2 linked regions of the Coturnix japonica genome follow. The protein of the gene in region 1 purifies or fractionates together with the protein of each later gene. This does not show direct contact. Links are inferred from orthologs where the notes say so. Each region holds a gene or a part of one and is shown on either strand. Other genes may lie near its edges.

Evidence for each region.
Region 2: the proteins of KIF23 (region 1) and RACGAP1 purify together in Homo sapiens (co-immunoprecipitation; 10 studies listed by BioGRID and IntAct, counting the BioPlex papers as one, with this or other methods). This does not show direct contact. The link is inferred for Coturnix japonica from reciprocal best matches to the Homo sapiens genes KIF23 and RACGAP1.

What each region holds. Positions count from the first base shown.
Region 1 is NC_029525.1:17,549,786-17,554,816, reverse strand, and holds part of KIF23 (kinesin-like protein KIF23), read right to left. Parts: intron 4,593-5,031; coding exon 4,425-4,592; intron 4,223-4,424; coding exon 4,065-4,222; intron 3,947-4,064; coding exon 3,773-3,946; intron 3,084-3,772; coding exon 2,904-3,083; intron 2,547-2,903; coding exon 2,241-2,546; intron 358-2,240; coding exon 127-357; intron 1-126.
Region 2 is NC_029544.1:383,350-388,807, forward strand, and holds the start of RACGAP1 (rac GTPase-activating protein 1), read left to right. Parts: upstream 1-1,649; 5' UTR 1,650-1,745; intron 1,746-2,011; 5' UTR 2,012-2,015; coding exon 2,016-2,100; intron 2,101-2,521; coding exon 2,522-2,724; intron 2,725-3,051; coding exon 3,052-3,188; intron 3,189-3,390; coding exon 3,391-3,460; intron 3,461-3,668; coding exon 3,669-3,722; intron 3,723-4,003; coding exon 4,004-4,081; intron 4,082-4,214; coding exon 4,215-4,332; intron 4,333-4,513; coding exon 4,514-4,644; intron 4,645-5,063; coding exon 5,064-5,228; intron 5,229-5,458.

The sequences.
Region 1 (5,031 bases):
CCAATCTCTCAGCACATGGGGTCAAACATACCTTTCTGTAAGGCACAAGCCTGTAGCACAAATACAATGCCAGAAATAGGATTTGACAGGGTTATCACAAGTTTACCACAGAGGTGTTTGCTTTACCTTAATTAGTTTTGTTTCAATCTCCCCATCAGAGGCTAGCTCCTGGTGCGTCAGCATGTACTTGTCACACTTAGCTAGTGCCTTTTCACTTGCAGCTGCTACTGTGATGGCATGAGGGACATGTGGTTGCATGACTGTGTCAGTGGGCAGATTAGAAGGTGGCTTATGATCTACCCATCTCTCCCCAGCTGAGCGCGACCGTCTGTGCCTGAGACGAACTGGAGGCGCGTTCTGATCAGAGTGGAAAGAGAATCAGAAGAAATCAGCACACAGTAAGCTTCTCAAAGGATATCATTAGCAAAACTGATTTTCGCAGGTCTGGTTAAGATGTAATTATTTGAAGATCAAAGCTTTGTTCCTTTTAGAATCCACCTGAAACATACTGCTCCACAAGCCTTGCAAAAAATACTTAATGGATTATTTCTGTGCCAACTGTTTCCCACTAATTTGATGTGGTTTTATCCAATCAGTTGCACTCCCTGCATAGCAGGGTTTCCACAAGGAGAACATCTTTCTCTTTGGCAGCACTCTTCCCAGATTTCCCAGATCTGATTGCCATGAACATATTAACCGACCTGAAAAGATAAATTTGGAAGTGTTTCCACAGATGCTCTAATGGATCAAGATGTAATCTTGATGTAGCAAAGGGAACAGATTGAGTATGGATTTCCAGCACCTCTGGTAGAGACAAAGCCTCTGTTTACTCAGAAGTATTACGAGCAGAGAAAAAAAGTAGAGTGCCCTTTGCTAGCATTACTGCTTCCAAGTCCAGCTGCTGGAAATCCACACAAAGCAATGGAAGTTCATAGATTTTTAACTTATGCTCATGAACGTTGTCAGTTGCTCAGGTAAACCAGAAAATTGTTTAAAAACCTAAGTCCTTTCAAAATCCTTGAACAGGCATTTGAAAGAACACTGCAGGCTCTCTCTGTTCTATTTACTCACTAATGTACAGACCTCTGTAAATCGTAGTGATGTTAAATAACCCAAAGCTACAAACGCAGATTCCTCCACTCTGCTTTCAGGTGATGAGCAGCAATTGGGATTTCTCTCAGCAACAGCCATGAGACTAGCTGTGCCCTTCACAAGTAAAGCTCTTACTACAGCAGCTTCTAAAGATTAAATGAATACAGAGATTCGTGGCTTTCAAAGTTGTTTTACATGAACATTAGGAATAAGACACTCAAGAGTTCTCCTCTTTTTAGTGGAGTAGTGGGAAGTAACTCTGCCAGGGTGCCCTAGAAATCTACAAGTCCAAAGGAAGACATTACTACCAGTCACATTTTATTGTGGGAGAGAATGTGTCCCATAATCCGATGCTGGTGATTTGTGTTTTATTTAACTGGAACAGCATTTGCTTAAATCCCTTCCCATACTTCAGAATTCCTGTTACTTGCTAGCCCTTTGAAAACACTGCCCCAAAAATGAATCCCACCATGATAAGCTTCCCTCTTCTCGGGAAGGCCTCTCAAGAGCTCTGATCCTGGGAGTATGATGTAGTACAATACTCATGGCTTTACCTGAGCCACTGTGACAGTTACATCATGATAGAGACACCGCGGATACAAACATTTGCACACAGTAATTTGATGGAAAAGCATCTCTCAACTACAAGCAAAGCCCCCAGTTTTAATGCAGATGTGAAGATTTGGAAAGACTATTCTAGGAGAACAAAAGTTAACAGCTATTCAAGTGAGGAGTTTGCCTAAGCACTATTTCTAGCAGACATTTGCATGTGGCTGGCTCATAAGACCACCTTTTAAGCTGCCCAAAAAGGATTACAGCAAGTTGCAGGCTGTAAGATAGATTTGAGGAGACAGACACAAATTAAAACAAAAACATTTAGAGCTAGGAAAAAAAGAAAAGCCCATTTAGTTCAGAGCTCCTTTCCGCAGCTATTTACACACTAACCAGAAATGGAAGTGCTTTCTAAAGATTTTTAATGCCAAATTAAAGATTTAAAGAGTGAGACTCAACTTGGAAACCGCACTCCCCTACATTTAGGGGAAAATGCTAAAACCTCTTTTACACTCAGTGTAAGAGAGCAGTTGTGATGAACTTTTGAGCCAGACTACGTAACACTACATGCAGCTTTTGACAGGAGCAGCACTAACCCTGCAGCATTGATCCTCTTCTATTTCTAGCTCATCTCTACGCTTGGGAACCTCAGTGATTCCAGTCCAGCACATCCCTCGCCTTCTGTCTGAGGTGTTACAGTCTCTACTTTGTCCTGGTTCTTGTTGTCTAGTCCTTGTTTTAGAAATGCCACCGGTATGCTTGTGCGAAGGTGTTTTCTGCTCCCACTCCATAACACAGGAAGCCACAGAAATGCTGCTACAAGAATTTGAACGTCTGTGCACCTGCTGGTTGCTCACGAACTGCTGGCTGTTAGGAACCTGAGTAATAAAGTTACTAGAAGGCTAAAGAGAATGGGAAAGCAGTTAACAACACAGAACTATCAGCTCACAAGGCAATAAGACAGCGTCACTGCACATTGTCAATATTCAATGTAGCTACCGAAATTCATGGCTTCGGAGAGCAGTGACAGCACTAAGAATCAGACGATCTTCAACTTTGAAGGCATTAGGAAAGTAGGAGCACAAATAAAAAACACAGATACAAATACAAGAGGAGAAGGAGAATTCAAAAGCAGTTTAAACCCAAATTCTGTGCTTGGGAAACATTTTCTAGCCACTAGAGAAAAGAGCTTTGTATTTTATTTCATTTTTACAAGTACTCGTGTCCCTTTACCAAGTAGTGCACTAAAGGCAACTCACAGGTACTGGTGGTGGAGAGATTGACCTCTGAATAGGCTTCTCTCTGTCTCTCTCCCGTGAAGGCCTCTCTGGCTTTTCGCTCTTTGGTTCAGTAACAATGGCCTTCAGCTGCTTCAGTTTTTCATCTTTGACCCAAAGTTTGTTCTGCATTTCCAGCTGCTTTGCTGCTACACGACGCTCCTACAAAGACCAAGAGAAGAAAAGCTTTACAGACACAGAGTAATTGGGTTACAAGTTTGCAAATAATTCTATATTCTACATGGAAGGACATTCTTTCCCTCTGAGATACAAGCTGATGAAAGTAATGATGTAAACAAGCTAACAAAAAAGACTGCCAAGGTTATGTCTAACACCATAAATAATTTGCTTCCTAAATTATGAGGGTAAATCAGACCGTTGTCTAACTGTAGATCTAATGATAGCCCTGAAGAAGTAAACAGTCCTGTAGTAGAGCAAATTAATTCCTCAGATTTTCTTTCCTTATTGCTCATGAAGGGCATATCTGAACAAGAGTTTACATGAGGATAATGGGGAAAGCCTGATATTAGGCTTCTCCTGACAGCTGCCAGAACAAAAGAATCACTCCTCAGAGAGCCATAAACCCAAAAGAACAAGTTCCAGATACCAAAACAAAGTGCACAAGAGAGCTGCTCTAGTTGCATCATGGGCCATTGAGGAATTCATCCCATCATACAACATTTATATAAGAAGAAAATATCTGTTCAAGTCCCCAGTTAAAATCCAAATGTATCTTCACTCTTAATAGTATTAAGAAAAAAAAAGAAAAACCTTAAAAAACAAGCAAGCTCCCCAACTCCCTCCAGCATTATTCCCTTAGACAGCTCTCATACGTAGGGCAGTATACTCACACACTCCTTCTCCCACTTCATGGTTGTTTCAGCAACCATGCCTTGCAGCCGTGCCTCCAACCTACGCTTGTCAGAAGCCTGACGTTGCAGTTTCTGGCTCTGGCTTTCAAGTTCTTGCTGAAGGTGACGCTTATCTTCTTCATAAATAGTAGCAGTTTTCTCTAAAATCTCAATCTGGAGGAAGAGAGGAAGATCTTTGTTATGGCCCCAGGCAACACAACCATCTAAGCCCAGAAGCACAAGTGATGTTTGCTTGTGCTAGAATACATTTGTTATCCGTTAGAAAACTAACCTTGTATTCCAAAGTTTTAATTTTCTTCTCCATCCGTTCTAACTCCGTTTTCTGTCCTGTTATTATTTTCTCTTTTTCAGACAATTTTCCTTGCACATAGTTTTCTTTGGACATAATGCTGGAATCAAGTTCTCGCAGTATAGTTTTAAATGTAAGCGCTGCAAGAGAGTCAACATACTTTACTTTCTCATCCTGTCTCCTATTAACTTGATACTACCAGCTACTTCAATTACCTCAATGAGAGGGTTTTTAAACCATCAACCTAAACAAGATCATTGTTCCTCATTAGTACATAAGAAATGTTTGAATAGCAACGAGGGCACCAAAAATCGAGCTCTATGTCAGTGCTCAAATTCTTACCATTTTTGGCAAACTCCTCTGACAACTTTTGTCGTAGTTTATGGCGTTCTTCCAGGACTTCAGCAAGCTTTGGAAGTGTTTGATCGTCATTAATGTCTAATAGCTCACATGAAGGCAGGGGAGGAAAGCTCGGCAATAATATTTCTAAAGCAGATTGCTCTTCTGTTTCTGTAAGATTTAAAGCCAAGGAAGTCTGTCAGCAAGCTAGAGAACAAAGTTCTCATATGACAGTGCACAGCCACAGATCATTCCACAGAATTACGAAGGAGACAGAATGTAGAATTATTAAGGAGAGCTACATGTTTTCAGAATAGATGACAGTATTGAGAACAGATTAAATGTGACATTTTTGATTCATTCCTTACAATACCTCCAGGCAAGTCCTAATTTCTAAAGCAAACCCAGAGCATACAAGAGCGAAGTATTATCTTCAGCACAGTCTCTTTTCCAGAGCTGCAGTAATGGGACCCTGAATTCAGCTCATCATCAACAACAAAGAATTACTTTGAGAATTGTAGTGTAAGCCCAATTACTGTGTAAGCAATAGCACAGCATAAAAAGAGCAGTTCAGGTGCACCTACTACAGAGAAAGCTCACCACTAACAGT
Region 2 (5,458 bases), on another chromosome or scaffold:
CCAAATAACACAGTCCTGACGAAGCATCTGGATCTTTGAGTGCAATCTGCTTTTATGAACTCCCTTTTCCCACTTAGTAATTTCCAGCATTTAGTTCCGCTTTCTAATTGCTAATATCCATTCTCCAATTACCCGCTGGTTTTGTTTCAGATTTCAAAGATTAAAGTGCATTGCTGTTTTATTGCCATTGCGTGATTCCGCTTTCTTGTAAATCGTTGGGTTTTGGTTTGTGTTTTTAGTTGTATTAAAGGCTTGCAAATGGGAGGAGGAATGAAATGAGGCTTTGCCTTTTGGCTTGTGGGTCTGTTGGCTCAAATAGAAGACAAAAGGCCACGGCATCATTCTTCTCAAGGGACAACACTGAACCAAAGGCCTTCTGGAAAGCTTTTGTTATCTGAAATAGCTTTGGGGCACATTGAATGCCTGATGTCACCAATGCACAGGGGACTCGGAACCCTGCCATGCTTTGTGTCATTGGTTTAGCACAGTTACAGCCAGGGCTTGGCCTGAGAATAGCATTTCTTCCCCCAAAATACCCCTGTGCTGCCAATGGCTGCGTTCAGGGTTAATGCAGAAGGAGCAGCCCTTGGGTTGGGGGTCCAGGCCCCACCGCCATCCCTGCCTGCTCTGTTGCTAAGCAACAAGGGCTGGAAGCAACTGCCAATAGTAAACATGGCGCCTAGCCGACTTCACCATCTGTCAAACCCGGAAATCAGAGGAAGGGAAAAAGCTTTGCCCTTAGCAGACATGGCGCCAATTTGGCTTCAGACACACGGCGAGCAGAACCAATCAGAAACCAGAAGGGTGGAGAGCGCCCTGTGATTGGCCGGCGGCAGGGATTCAAACCGAATCGCGGGGCAGTTGAAGCCGGCTGTTGGAGTGGGAGCTCGGAGCGGGTGAGTGCGCGGGGGGAAGCCGGGTTGGGGAGGGGTCTAAGGGGCTTCGATATGGGATTGGGGGGCATCAGCAGGGTCCTGGGCTGAGGGAGGTGGTCTGCAGGGCCCTGATCTTGAGCTGAGGAGGCTCGGTGGGGCCCTATTGCCGGGCAGCCTCCCGGTGTGTGTGGCGCGGGGTAGGCCCGAGGCCTGTTACCTCAGGGCAGGCCCGAGGCCTGTTACCTCAGGGCAGGCCCGAGGCCTGTTACCTCAGGGCAGGCCCGAGGCCTGTTACCTCAGGGCTGTCCCACCCGTTGTGCCCTATGAAGAGGCTGTGAGGGCTCCATATGGAGCTGTGGGTGTATTGAGGTGCTGGGGAGTGAGACACAGGGCTATGGAGTGTCCTCAGAGCTTTGCTTTTCCATGCAGAAAACCCCAATGTGTGTGGGGTTATAACCAAGCATTGTAACAGGGCGTTGTGCCCCTCCTGGTGCCACTCCCAGCCATCCTTCACAGCCGCCCCTTCACCTGGAGCTCATTCATTAACCAAGCCTGTCCTGAGTGCCCCCTTCTGTATTAAAGAACTGCGTTCTGTGCTGCTGAGCTCGAGGCTTTCCTCTTGGCTGCTCCTGTTTATGCCGTTGTTTTCGCTGTTTGAGGGATTTGTGCTGACTGCCTGCATTTCCAAGGCCGTTTGCAGCAGGAGCTGTAACTTAAAGTGGAGCTAAATATAAAACGGCATTGAAATTCCCCCTGAATGCTGCTTCTATTTTTACCTCGTGTTGCTCTGAATGCTTACAGATTTCTGGTGGCCTATATAGCACCGGAGTGGGCCCGAGCCACGTCCTGCAGCCTGGCAGAAGGAAAATGGTTTGTGATCCCTCCTCTGTAGTAAACTGGAGGCTGTTTGGGAAGCTGTGCTGCTCTAATACTAAATTCTGGAGGGCTGAGTGCCTTTGCCCCCTAAGAATTTAGATGCACATCTCTTCATAAAGCCTAACATCTTTTTTTTGTGTGTGTGCAGCTGCTACATCTTGCCTAAAGAAAAGAGAATTCTGAAGCAAATTCTCTCTTTTTTGGGGCTGGTAATGCATTTTTCATTTGGAGGTGTTGATTTAGTTCTGTTTTCTTGGCAGGAGGATGGATACCACAATGAGGAACCTGTGGAATTTGTGTGACCAACTCATACGCCAGGCTGAAGTTTTAAGCGAGGGGAATGAATGCCGTAAGTTTTGAGACATCAAGCAGCATCTGTGTGTTTATATTCTTGCAGCAAGCATTGCTAGCTGTTATTGAAGGATCTGTTGATGAGGTCTTGAGTAATAACACTCTTCCAGGCAGCCAGATTTGAAGGTTGTTTCTTTTTCCTGTTGTTGAGAAATAGGGAGTCATAGGGTGAAAGCAAGTTGCCTTTGTCAGGGTCTCACATGAGGTATCTGCTGCTTGATGCTGCTGCTGAGACTTGGTCTGCAAAGGTGGTGACATCTTGGGAACATCCAGAGTGTAGTGGGGTTTGCTGCAAGGCCAGCTTCTCCATGTTTCAATTAATAGAGATTTTAATTAATTAATTATTAGAAGTCTGCCCTCAATTATAGGAGAGCTGTTGCATCTCCTCTCTTAATCTGAGTGATGTATCTTTTCTCCAGAATTTATTCAGCTGGCGAAGAACTTTGAAGACTATCGAAGGAAGTGGCAGAAAACTGAGCAGGAGCTTGGAAGATACAAAGACCTGCTGATGAAAAGTGAAGCTGAACGTAGTGCTTTGGACGTGAAGCTGAAACATGCGCGCAATCAAGTGGATGTAGAGATCAAACGCAGGCAAAAAGCTGAAGCAGACTGTGACAGGCTGGTGAGTGTTTCTTTTATTACTGGTTAGCTCTAGTTGATGTGGAGAGAAGGTGGTTAAACTGCAATTAACCGGGGGGGGGGGGGTGTGGAAACAATAGGGGGAATAAAAACAAGTCAGTGATGGGTTGATCTGGCTCCTTGTAATGGCCTTCTGCTTTTGTCTGGAAGGCGAAGGGCTGCTGTTTCAGAGCCTGGGCTTTGCAGATATCAGCAGCTTGAGTGCTGGACTTGCTCTTAGCAATTTGTGAGAGCCTATCTGTGTGGTATCTCAAATACCTGAGATTGGTTCATGTAATTAAACGGCTTCTGATATTATCTTTCTTTTCAGGAGAGGCAAATACAACTGATTCGAGAGCTGCTCATGTGTGATGCATCTGGGAGCATTCAGCTAAGTGAAGAACAGAAGTCTGCCCTTGCCTTCCTTAACAAACCACAGGTTTCTGTAGGAGGTTCAGGCAACAAGAGGTAGGCAGAATGGTTTTGTCTGAACAGCATAAGTGACAGCTACTGGTCTGCCTGCGTGTGTCTGAGATACATGTTGCATCCATATCAACAGTTTTACTTTTATTCCAGTTTGAAATAGAGCTCTTTTGCCTAAGGTTGCTTTGGGACCACAGCTGCCTGAAAGCCAAACTGATGCATGCTTCTTCTAATTCTTGGTTTTTAGACTGTCTACAATAGATGAATCTGGCTCAATTCTGTCAGACATCAGCTTTGACAAGACTGATGATTCACTGGTAATGTAATTCCAAGTTCTAAACTATGAAATCTTAAACCTGCGGGGTAATCTCTAGAGACCTCTTGTGTTTAGATTACTGTGGTATTAAATTGGTAGAGCTGATCTGCATATCTCTGCTGTGCTATTGGGTAAAACGTAATGGAGGTGTGGACCAGAGGTGGTGTGGTGTTTACGCTGAGCTAACCAGTGCTGCATGTTTTCCACAGGACTGGGATTCCTCTGCAGTGAAAACTGTCAGACTGAAGAGGAGAGAGAAGAGGGTATGTTCAATTCTTTCCCTTCACATAGATACTGTTGTTAGCATTAACTGGTGTCACCTGTGATGGGTAGGTGCTAGTCACAAAACCTTGATGGATGTGATTCAGACTTGCTGTGTAGATTTGGTGTGAAAGTTATTTCTGATACTGTTTTTCCACAGGGCATAATGAGTGGAGTTTCAGGTATCTTGTTATGAACTTGAGTCTGCAAGAGAGTGGTTAAAATACATCACTAAGTTAATAGTATTACCTGCCTTTTAGACTAAAATACTGTGTCTTTTCAGCGCTCTTCCAGGCAGCATGCTGAAGGCCCACCAGCTCCTGAGAAGAAAATCAGATCAATTGGCTCCACAGCAGACCAGGTATAGTGATCCCAGCTGGCTGTGTGTGTGTTTAAAGCAGTTGGCCACAGTGCACACCTGCTTCCAGGGCCAACAGACTTAAATCCTTGTCCTGTCAGCATTGCTGTCACCAACAACACACTTCTTGCTACAGGGAAATGAATCCATAGTGGCAAAGACGACTTTCATGGTTCCCAGTGATGGTGGTCCTATTGAAGCCATCTCTACCATTCAGACTGTGCCCTACAGCCTGAGAAGCCAGAGAAAGAGTGGTAGGTGTCAGCTTGTTGTCCTAAATCAGTGCTTAGCAGGCTGGAGGGTGTCCTGTCATTGTAATTTCCTATGCTCCACCACTTAAGCTGCTGCCTCTGATTTGTAGTGCATGTTGTCTGGAGCACGGAATGCACTAGGGTACGGTTCCCATCTAGACAATGCTCCTCTTCTGTTTTCTAGGTCCTTTGCAGCCTTGGAGCAGTGAGACAAGCTTAGGCTTTAAGCAGGTGGAATCCAAATCAGAGAGCAATGGTTCTGTCACCCCACAGAGCAACGGGGGAGTGAGGCTGCATGACTTCGTATCAAAGACGGTAGGTTTGCAGGCAAGAAGAATCATAGAATGGCCTGGGTTGAAAAGGACCTCAAAGATCATATATTTTGAACCTCATGCTATGTGCAGGGTTGCCAACCACCAGACCAGGCTGCCCATAGCCACATCCAGCCTGGCCTTGAATGCCTGCAGGGATGGGGGCATCCACAGCCTCCTTGGGCAACCTGTTCCAGTGCATCACCACCCTCTGTGTGTGTATGTGTGGGGGCAGGGGGAAAACAACTTGAAAAGTATCTACTTTCATTAAATGTGTGTGATAGCAAGCTATTGATAAGAAACTACCAACCATTACATCCCGAATCAATATTCACTGTGTCTGTTATCTGCCTGGTTATGCTATTTAAGCTGAGTTACTACAAGGCGCTAATTTCTTTCTGTCTGTACGCTCTGAATCATTAGGTTATCAAACCAGAGTCATGTGTTCCTTGTGGAAAAAGAGTGAAATTTGGAAAAATCTCTCTGAAGTGCAGAGATTGCCACGTGGTCAGTCATCCAGAGTGTCGAGATCGCTGTCCTCTTCCCTGCATCCCCACCTTGACAGGCCCTCCTGTCAAAATTGGGGAGGTAAGTCTGGGGGAAATGTATGGCTGCTGACCCAAACAGGCTAATGCTTGGTTAGAGCTGGAATGTGTTTAGGCTCCAACAAGTCTGCCTGCTGCAGAAGAGCTCCCATTGCTCAGAGCTGCATAATAAGAAACAAACCAACTTGCTGAAGTTGGTAGGGATGTCTTGTTGCAATGGTGTTATGTTGTGTATGTAAGCAGCTCTGTGTGGGCGATCCTGTAGCACTGTGC